Linked DNA regions of Anolis sagrei. The protein of the gene in region 3 interacts with the protein of the main gene of each other region in a pairwise test. Links are inferred from orthologs where the notes say so. Each region holds a gene or a part of one and is shown on either strand. Other genes may lie near its edges.

Evidence for each region.
Region 1: the proteins of LDLRAD1 (region 3) and BNIP3 interact in binary tests that used the Homo sapiens proteins (3 or more experiments, as listed by UniProt). The two-hybrid records come from large-scale screens. The link is inferred for Anolis sagrei from reciprocal best matches to the Homo sapiens genes LDLRAD1 and BNIP3.
Region 2: the proteins of LDLRAD1 (region 3) and BNIP3L interact in binary tests that used the Homo sapiens proteins (3 or more experiments, as listed by UniProt). The two-hybrid records come from large-scale screens. The link is inferred for Anolis sagrei from reciprocal best matches to the Homo sapiens genes LDLRAD1 and BNIP3L.

What each region holds. Positions count from the first base shown.
Region 1 is NC_090023.1:191,285,353-191,289,107, reverse strand, and holds the start of BNIP3 (BCL2/adenovirus E1B 19 kDa protein-interacting protein 3), read right to left. Parts: upstream 2,962-3,755; 5' UTR 2,730-2,961; coding exon 2,681-2,729; intron 1-2,680. UniProt on the Homo sapiens protein: Apoptosis-inducing protein that can overcome BCL2 suppression. May play a role in repartitioning calcium between the two major intracellular calcium stores in association with BCL2.
Region 2 is NC_090027.1:6,904,593-6,908,347, reverse strand, and holds the start of BNIP3L (BCL2/adenovirus E1B 19 kDa protein-interacting protein 3-like), read right to left. Parts: upstream 2,251-3,755; 5' UTR 2,157-2,250; coding exon 2,063-2,156; intron 1-2,062.
Region 3 is NC_090024.1:172,568,729-172,572,483, reverse strand, and holds the start of LDLRAD1 (low-density lipoprotein receptor class A domain-containing protein 1), read right to left. Parts: upstream 2,355-3,755; coding exon 2,186-2,354; intron 1-2,185.

The DNA.
Region 1 (3,755 bases), on a different chromosome or scaffold from region 3:
ACCGAAATGTGCTCGGAGAAGGGATGACTCATACAAAAGCACAACAAGGCCAGGTGGAGAACAGAAATAAGGAGAAAGAACAGAGGATGTACGCTTTGAATATGAATAGTAAAGCCAACCAGATTGTTAGGAAGGAGGGAACGAATGGCACACCTCACCGGTGGAAAGAAACTCAGGTGCATCTACATTGTAGAATGGATGCAGTTTGACAACACTTGGGCTGCCATAGCTCAAGGCAGGTTTTATAGCATCAATGCTTTGGAATTATAGTTTGGTGGGGCATCGGCAAACTACAAGGCATAAAGACCTTGTAAAACGACAAGTGCCACGATTACACAGCACTTAAAAGAGAGATCAGGTTGCATTAACTCTGTAGTGTGGATGCAGCCAAGCTATTTATTACAAATGCCCGGAATATTTTCTCGCCGGTCATGCAAAGCAAATATTGTGAGATGTGAGCCATTCAGTTTCCTTGCCATCCTGGCCTTTCCCTTCACACCATATGATTCCAACCATCATTGAAATAATAATAATTCTATCTTTAGCTTGGATGACTTCAGGGCTACACAGGAAGATGATGGTGAAGGGTTATTGGAGATCGTTTGCTTTCAATTTGCTTGCCTGTCTTCCAAATTGAAGACCAACAGTAAAACTCTTCAGACAGTGACATGTGTGTGTGTATTTGTGTGTCTGTCTATCTATCCATCTATCTTCAAATAGTGAGAGATACAGATAGTGATTTAGATAGATGGTTCTCAACCTTTGGATCTCCAGGTGTTAGGAACTCTGGGAGCTGAAGTCCAAAACACCTGGAGACCCAAAGGTTGGGAACCACGGAGACAGATCAATATAGTGATATCTATATAGGTAGATATCTTCAGACAGTGCAACAAATATATAGAAATAGTGATATATATATATATATATATATACACACACACACATATATAATTCACACACATACAAATAAATATATTATGTGTGTATATGATCTATGATCTATACATTACAAATATACATAATATTACTGTACAAACACACACATATATTTATATTATATTTATATTTATATATATTTATATATATTTACATATATATATCTCCTCTGAAATTTTTAATGTTTTTAAAATTATTACTAATTTTAACATTTTTTAGTCTTGTTATATTAGTTGAGTTAAAATGTAATGTTAGGTAAATGTAAAGGTTTCCCCCTGACATAAAGTCCAATTGTATGTGACTCTGGGGGTTGGTGCTCATCTATATTTTTAAGCTGAAGAGCCAGCAATGTCTGTAGACACCTCCAAGGTCTTGTGGCCAGCATGACTGCATGGAACACCATTACCTTCCTGCCAGAGCAGTACCTATTGTTATATATAGATTTGCATGTTTTCGAATTGCTAGGTTGGCAGAAGCTGGGGCTAGCAGCGGGAGCTCACTCCACTCCCCAGATTTGAACCGGCGAAGAAGAAGAAGAAGAAGAAGAAGAAGAAGAAGAAGAAGAAGAAGAAGAAATCCAGCATAGAGATCTCATTTGCTGTGACATACTGTGGTTTTGTGTCAATTATTATTATTATTATTTTATTTTTCTACCCCGCCTCCATCTCCCCGAAGGGACTCAGGGCGGATTACATGGGGCAATGCCCAGACAACGTAAAGTTAAAAAGTAGAACAATAAAATATAAAACAGCATAAAAACAATATCATCATAAACAATAAAAGCAAACATCATAAGCAACTACGTAAAGGTAAAGGTAGTCCCCTGACATTAAGTCCAGCCATGTCTGACTCTGGGATGTGGTGCTCATCTCCATTTCTAAGCCAAAGAGCCAGCGTTGTCCGTAGACACCTCCAAGGTCATGTGGCTGGCATGACTGCATGGAGCGCCGTTACCTTCCCGCCGGAGCAGTACCTATTGATCTACTCACATTTGCATGTTTTCGAACTGCTAGGTTGGCAGAAGCTAGGGCTGACAGCGGAAGCTCACACCGCTCCCCGGAATCGAACTTGCGACCTTTCGATCAACAAGCTCAGCAGCTCAGTGCTTTAACCCACTGCGCCACCGGGGGCTCCAAAGTAGATACCTCTAATCTCATTTTTTGGGGGAGGGGATCAATATGCAAAACAAGTTAAGGGATAGGTTGGTCAAGAAGGTGGATAGAACAAGTAGTAGAATAGGAATAGAGCAATTATAACAGGATCGATCGTTATGATGTTTATTGTTATAATGTTATTCTTTTAACTTGTTTTTAACTCTTTTTATCATGTTTAAGTATTGTATTTGCTTTGTTAACCGCTCTGAGTCGCCCTGAGGGCTGAGAAGAGCGGTATACAAATATAGTAAATAAATAAATTATAGCTTAGCTTTAAAAATATAGTAATCAAATATAGGAACTGAGTTCAGGTCATGGTTAGGAGCCATCTATCCCAATAAGGCACAGATCCCAATAAGGTGGCCTTCTGCAGCTGGCAGATGGTGATTTTGTCAGCGCTGATTGTTTTTAAGTGCAGGCCAAGGTCTTTAGGCACTGCACCCAGTTTATTATTATTATTATTATTATATCATACACACAGATACATATATATGATGTGTGTGTGTGTATAATTATATCATATGCACAGACACACATATATAGATATAGTGATATCCATCTGTATATTAAGGAGGTAGATTTCCTCTTACCCTGCAGATTTTCCTCTTGGTGCAACCCAGGCGCCCCGCTAGACGACATGGCTTCTGGGACGAGACGTTTCTATTTGTGATCTCTTTCTAGAGCTTTCCGATTTGGCGGCTGTAGTTCTGCCCTGAGGCCAGAGATAGTAGCAGCAGCAGCTCCCAGCTGGCCAACTCGCAGGGAAATGGTCCCCCTCTGGTACTGTTATTGTTGCTACTGCTGCTGATCCCAGTGTTCTGAAGATCGTGACGTCACAGGAGAAAAGGACGCTCCTGATTGGCTGCCCAGGCCATTCTTCGCCACGCCCCCCTCGGTGAACCAGGAACGCTCTTGCGTCCCGAAGGCAGAAAGTGGGTTAGGGAAGGAATGACCGCGTCGGTCATCAGAGTGTTAGGGAGGAGGAGCTCTGCGCATGCGCAGTGCGAATGTTATCTAGCCTTTTGAAAGGGAGGGTTTCTTTCCAGTCGAACCAAGAACCAGGTAGCAAAACTAGATAGTAAATATAATAGAATCGGTTTAGAGAGGAGCATATTATGCATAAATTAGCATACTGCAGTCAGAGAAGAGAACAATGGGCCCTTGCAGACAGGTGCTATATCTATCCCAGGATCTGATCCCAAGTTTTCTGCTTTAAACTGGATTATATTATATTAGGGGACTCAGAGCGTCTTACAAGTTATATGTACATACAATATTATTAGCATTGCACAATATTATCATTATACATTACTATATTGTACTATACCCTTATACTGTAATATTATATTATATTATATTAATATTATTAGTATTTCATTGTATTACACTATAATATTAGCAATATTATATGTACAATATAACAGCAATGGCTCCCAAAGTGACCCATTTAAAGTGGGATGTGTTATTGCCCCAACTTTACTCTCCATCTTCATCGCTATGATACTTCACCTTGTTGATGGGAAGCTTCCCACCAGGGTGGAAATCATCTATCGGACAGATGGCAAGCTGTTTAACCTCAGCAGACTGAAAGCCAAAACCAAAGTTACAACAACATCTGTTATAGAACTCCAGTATGCTGATGACAATGTCATCTGTGCACATACA
Region 2 (3,755 bases), on a different chromosome or scaffold from region 3:
GCATAGACACTGAGAACTGGGAAGCACTGGCCCTTGAGCGCTCCAGCTGGAGGTCAGCTGTGACCAGCAGTGCTGCAGAATTTGAAGAGGCACGAATGGAGGGAGAAAGAAAGAAACGTGCCAAGAGGAAGGCGCATCAAGCCAACCCCGACCGCCTTCCACCTGGAAACGAATGCCCTCACTGTATTGTCCTCCCAACCCCGCTCTATTCCTGCGAAACGTGGACTGTCTACAGGCGTCACATGCAACTCCTGGAACGATTCCATCAGCGCTGCCTCTGGAAAATCCTGCAAATCTCTTGGGAAGACAAGCGGACAAACATCAGTGTGCTGGAAGAAGGAAAGACCACCAGCACTGAAGCGATGGTCCTCTGCTATAAACTCCGCTGGACCGGCCACGTTGTCTGGATGCCCGACCACCGTCTCTCAAAGCAGTTGCTCCACTCCGAACTCAAGAACGGAAAACGGAATGTTGGAGGGCAGGAAAAGAGATTGAAAGATGGGCTCAAAGCCAACCTTAAAAACTCTGGCATAGGCACTGAGAACTGGGAAGCCCTGGCCCTTGAGCACTCCAACTGGAGGTCAGCTGTGACCAGCAGTGCTGCAGAATTTGAAGAGGCACGGATGGAGGGTGAAAGAGAGAAACGTGCCAGGAGGAAGGCGCGTCAAGCCAACCCCGACCACCTGGAAACCAATGCCTTCACTGTGGGAGAAGATGCGGGTCAAGAATAGGGCTCCACAGCTCTTACTGCCTATTACAGGGAAAACCAACTGATCCCTAATCCATCTAAAACACAGACATGCGCCTTTCACCTTAAGAACAGTCAAGCTCTGAGGATCACCTGGGAAGGAATCCCACTGGAGCATTGCAGCGCACCCAAATACCTGAGAGTCACTTTGGACCGTGCTCTGACCTACAAGAAGCACTGCCTGAACATCAAACAAAAAGTGGGCGCTAGAAACAACATCATACGAAAGCTGACTGCCACAACCTGGGGATCACAACCAGACACAGTGAAGACATCTGCCCTTGCGCTATGCTACTCTGCTGCTGAGTATGCATGCCCAGTGTGGAACACATCTCACCACACTAAAACAGTAGATGTGGCTCTTAATGAGACATGCCGATTATCACAGGGTGTCTGCGACCCACACCACTGGAGAAATTACACTGCCTAGCTGGTACTGCACCACCTGACATCCGCCGGGAAGTAGCAGCCAATAGTGAAAGGACCAAGGCAGAGACATCTCCAGCTCATCCCCTGTTTGGGTATCAGCCAGCACGTCAACGACTTAAATCAAGACACAGTTTTCTTAGATCTATAGAGATACTCGCTGGAACACCCCAGCAAGCGAGAGTCCAAAAGTGGCAGGCCCAAACCCAGCACTTCAATTCATGGGTGATACCAGACGAGAGACTCCCCCCTGGGCACACAGAAGACTGGGCAACTTGGAAGGCGCTGAACAGACTGCGCTCGGGCACCACAAGATGCAGAGCCAACCTTCAGAAATGGGGCTACAAAGCGGAATCCTCGACATGCGAGTGGGGAGAGGAGCAAACCACTGACCACCTGCTGCAATGCAACCTGAGCCCTGCCACATGCACAATGGAGGACCTTCTTGAGGCAACACCAGAGGCACTCCAAGGGGCCAGATACTGGTCAAAGAACATTTAGTCAACTACCAAATTTGCAAAATCTGTGTGGTTTTTTTTCTTTCTTTTTTTTTCTTTTTAATCTCTGTGTTTGTTTTGCTCTGTTAGAATTGTAATACAATGGTTGCTGATGACACGATTAAAAAAAAAAAGCCACCTACAAACCCACAAAAATAGTCATCAAGGAGGACCATCTTACTCGTCCAAGGAGGGATCGCCTAAGTAAGTAAGTCATCCCAAAAGGACTGCTGCTAGACCCAAGGGGTATTCTTCCTGTTCGATTCAGGTTATCTTTGACAGGCCCAGCCAATCCAGGCCGAGAGGAAGGTTCCCTCAGGCGGGGAGGCGACCCCTCGCCTTCCCCTGGGCTTGCCCTGACTTTCCCCTTCGCCCACCCGCTCCTACTCACTGTTGAGCCCGGCCTCGGCTGGCGTCGCTTCCCCTTCCCCCGGCGGGGGGTTGTTGTTGTTGTGAGGCGACTCCTGAGGAGGGGAGGACGACATGGCGGCCGGCGCGGGACTCTCCTTCCGTCTGGGTTGGCGAGAGAGAGAGGGGGACAACAACACCAAACAACACGGGGCGTGTGCTGCGCATGCGCCTGCCTTTTTTAAGCCAGCGCGCATGCGCCCGGGAGATCACGCCCCCCTTTTCCGCTTTTCCTCCCTGACGCTTCTCACGTCCGCGGAGAGGGGGTGTGGCCAGAGGACTGAGCCTTCAGTGCGCAGGCGCAAGAGTGTAGGCGGCTCCTTGCAGAGAAGGCAAGCGATCAAGGCACCCAAATAAGCCCACGCCCTGACTGCTCTCCTGAAGCCTAATATTATAATGCAATGCAGTATAATACTAATAACAATATAATTCTTAGGCTTGGGCAATCCATGGTTCTAAATGGTTCCAAAGTACTTACAAAACTAAAGTTCTGGTGGTGAAAATTTCAGAACTCTAACAAAACTCTCAAAATGTAATTATTATTTCATTATTGGTGATTTTAATGGCAGAACCAATTAGGAACTGCCATTTATTATGAAATTTTGAGAGTTTTGTTAGAGTTCTGAAATTTTCACCACCTTACTTACTTACTTAGGCGATCCCTCGTTGGACGAGTAAGATGGTCTTCCTTGATGACTATTTTTGTGGGTTTGTAGGTGGCTGTGGAGCCCTCTTCTTGACCCACATCTCCCACAGTGAGGGCGTTGGTTTCAAGGTGGAAGGCGGTCCTGGTCGGGGTTGGCTTGATGCGCCTTCCTCCTGGCACGTTTCTCTCTTTCACCCTCCACTCGTGCCTTTTCGAATTCTGCAGCACTGCTGGTCACAGCTGTCCTCCAGCTGGAACGCTCAAGGGCCAGGGCTTCCCAGTTCTCAGTGTCTATGCCAGAGTTTTTGAGGTTGGCTTTGAGCCCGTCTTTCAATCTCTTTTCCTGCCCGCCGACATTCCATTTTCCATTCTTGAGTTCGGAGTAGACCAACTGCTTTGGGAGGCGGTGGTCGGGCATCCGGACAACATGGCCGGCCCAGCGGAGTTGATGGCGGAGGACCATCGCTTCAATGCTGGTGGTCTTTGCTTCTTCCAGCACGCTGACGTTTGTCCGCTTGTCTTCCCAGGAGATGTCATTTCATCACCAGAACTTTAGTTTTGTAAGTACTTTAGAACCATTTAGAAGCATGGATTGCCCAAGCTTAATAATTATATATTTATATGTCATGTAATATTACTCATAGTATTACAATATAATGGTATAGTACAATATAATATTACATTATTAATATAGTAATATTTAAATATATATATAGTAATATTTAATACGGCGCTCCATGCAGTCATGCCGGCCACATGACCTTGGAGGTGTCTACGGACAACGCTGGCTCTTCGGCTTAGAAATGGAGATGAGCACCACACCCCAGAGTCAGACATAACTGGACTTAATGTCAGGGGACTACCTTTACCTTTACCTTTACCTTTTTAAATATTTAATACTGATGTTGTACTATGCTAATACAATATATTGTATTTATACTAATAACAATATAATTATATATTTATATTACATGTAATATTACTCATGATATAACAATATAATGGTACAGTACAATATAATATTATATTA
Region 3 (3,755 bases):
CGAGATGATATACTTTCTGGTCAGAACCAAATGAAAGGAAATGGCTTCGAATGCTCTGAGATTTAGAGAAATCAGTCAAACTGGCAGCATATCAAAGGAGACTATTAACAACCATTAAATGAAATATAGAAGCCCATTGTAAGCTATCTTAGTTATGATAGATTGTTTGATGCGGTGGTTCAGACAGTCTAAATTTGAAATACAGGGTTAGTCAAAATGCATAGGCCAATAAGCCATTCAATTGAATGGCTTATTGGCCTATGCATTTTGACTAACCCTGTATAACTTCAAGAGTTGATCTATCAATCATAGAAGTATGTTCTGTGAGCGATTTAGGCATTTGGCTTTGTGAGCATAGAAAGGATATATGTGGCAGGGGAAACTTTTACAATAACCACCCTTATCTTTTAGAGAGAAAGTCCTTTTCTCTTCAGTTTAGATATATCCTTGTGCACTTGAATGCTATCTCTATTCTTTCTACCATTTCCTTACAAGATAGATATTTTTAAAACCCTTCAGCTTTCATTCAAATTACAATGAATTCTGTTAGTAAATGGTTTTGGAATTCCTGGCACAGAAGTTTTTGTAGTTTTGATGTGAAGTGGGTATTTATAGACTCTAAAAAATTTACAATAATTCAATATTGTGTTATCCTCTTGATATTTGTGTAGTTTTCTGTGTATGCATTTTAAAAAAGTCATTTGAGTTCACTGGATGCTCTTCACTTTCTACTTTTTACTTCTTTTTTTTTACTTTTTACTTTTTACCAGTGGTTCTCAACCTTCCTAATGCTGCGGCCCCTTAATACAGTTCCTCATGTTGTGGTGACCCCAAACCATAAAATTATTTTCATTGCTACTTCATGACTGCGGTTTTGCTACTGTTGTGAATTGTAATGTAAATATCTGATATGCAGGACGTATTTTCATTCACAGGATGAAATTTGGCACAAATATCCAATATGCCCAAATTTGAATACTCGTGGGGTTGGGATTTGGGATTGATTTGCTCATTTGGGAGTTGTAGTTGCTGGGATTTATAATTCACATACAATCAGAGAGCATTCTGAACACCACTAATGATGGAACTGAACCAATCTTGGCACAGAGAACTCCCATGACCAACAGAAAATACTGGAAGGGTTTGGTGGGCATTGACCTTGAGTTTTGGAGTTGTAGTTCACCAACATCCAGAGAGCACTGTGGACTCAAACAATGATGGATATGGACCAAATTTGGCACGAATAATCAACATGCACAAATGTGAACACTATTGGAGTTTGGGGAAAATAGACATTTGGGAGTTGCAGTTGCTGGGATGTATAGTTCATCTACAATCAAAGAGCATTCTGAACCCCACCAATAGGGCCAAACTTCCCACACAGAACTCCTATGACCATCAGAAAATACTGCATTTTTATGGTCTTTGGCGACTGCTCTGATACCTCCCTCGCAAACCCCCCAGGGGTCCCGACCCCCAGGTTAAGAAACGCTAAACCTTCCCAAAGTCATCAAAAAATATGAAATGTCCTCCCAAGTGCTATTTGGACTGGTGCTTGCTCAGTACATAGCTTTCCAGCCCTACCTTTCCAAAACAATCCCACAGGTGAGCAGAAAATCTGAAACTAACAATCAGAAGTGAACTTCTGGTCATTTCTGGGATCTATTTTCAGGTGATTTGGTATCAAAATATAGCCATGTCAAGACAAACATGAACCCCTTATGTCCTCTGTGGGTACCCACAATATCAGTCCACAGACAGCTTTCCCTTTAAGTATGCAACAGGAGAGGGCTTGTAATTACTCAAGTTTCAGAAATTTTCCTGAGAGCAAAACTGGACATGATGGCAAAATGATGAGCATCATGTTATAGTTACCCTCTGGTTAACCATTGTAATTCCAGGAACTGGTTTTGCTAGTTCCCCTGATAAACAAGTCTTGGAGATCCAGAAAACCAGATTTTCATGAAATGCCCAGAGCTCCAGGAAGGAGTTAAGAGGAAGTACGGTATATTCAGCTATATTGTTACTGCAACCTTGGATTTAGGCTTCAGCTTCTCATTGTGTCCACACACTACTTACTTCAACAAGCTCAACCTTTAACATATTGAAATAATTGTGACACATTCAAGGCATCATATCAATGACTCTAGTGGGAAATAATACAGTCAACATAATAGTGACTGACCTGCTGTACGTGGGGGGATACCAACTGTGACAATTAATGCAATGGCAGCAATGATAACGGCAAGTATAATAAAACCAATGGCAGATGCACAGACGCATCTCCGAGTGCAAGGGACGCATTGACAAGACTCCTTGCAGCAATCTCGCTGGTCACGTATGGTACCTGCCATGGAGAGAGGCATTAAAGAGCAAATAAAATGCAATATTTTACTACAAAATCTGCAAGCAGAAACCAGCTTTTACCAACCATTGACTAAACCTCAATAGAAAAAAAAGCCACTTTGGTTGTTACTAATTCTCAAAGTTATTCCATACAACCATACCAATTATTTATGCCCAAAGTTTTCTGCTTTTGCCACACTTATCAACCCATTACTAATGTGATTTTAAGTAATTGTTTTTAATTTATATGTTTTAATCATGTGATTTTAATGTATATGTTGTTTTATTTTTATATGTACTTAAGGCATCAATTTGTGCCTCTCTTGTAAGCCACCCTGAATCTCCTTTGGGGTGAGAAGGGCAAGATATAAATGTCGTAAATAAATACATAAATGTTTGGGGGGGGGGGGAGTTTCAGATATATCTAGGTCTTTCGCACCGTACCAATGGTGTCGTCTAGATGTTCTGGAATTTAGCTCACAGAAATCTTAACAACTGGCCAAGCAGGCTGAGGCTTCTGGGCATTGACCCTCCCCCAACATCTGGATGAATAAAGGCTGGGGATCTATGCATAAAATCATTAAAGCACTATGATTCCATTTTAACTGCTATAACTGGGATTTGCAGTTTAGGGACTGGTACAAATTAACCACTGCCCCAGTGGTGCAGTGAGTTAAACTGCTGAACTTGCTAATCACAAGGTTGGCGGTTCGAATCCGGGGAATGGGGTGAGCTCCCACTGTTAGGCCCAGCTTCTGTTGAACTAGCAGTTTGAAAACATGCAAATATGAGTAGATCAATAGGTACTGCTTCGGCGGGAAGATAATGGTGCTCCATGCAGTCATGCTGGCCACATGACTTTGGAGGCATCTACTGTCAACACCGGCTCTTTGGCTTAGAAATGGGGATGAGCACCACTCCCCAGAATTGGACGCGACTAGACTTAAGGTCAGGTGAAACCTTTACCTTTAATTATGAATTATTATCAGCAAGAGCACAGTAGTACCTAACCACCAAATGGAGATGTGTACTTAGTTTTCTGGCTGAGAATTATATGTAAACTGTAAATCCCAGGAGTATTTAAAATCATTGGGGGGGGGGGGGGGTGTTAAGTGGAATAATAGTGCTGTAATACTGTCATCTGAAGTTGCCCTTAGTTTAATTTTTTCCAACATCAAAAAATACGTAAAATCAATTTGGTAAAAAAAGTTTAATATTGACATGTTCATAGAGAACAGCTGATATTTTACAAATCTCATCAGATGATAACATTACAATTTGTCATGAGTTGACTCCAGTAAAGCTATCTTTAATCATTTAAATGTCAATGTGCAACTAAACTATTTAACCATCTATTTCCTGCTCTGGCAGTTACTCAACAAAATGTCTAGAATTGATCTTTTTGAAAA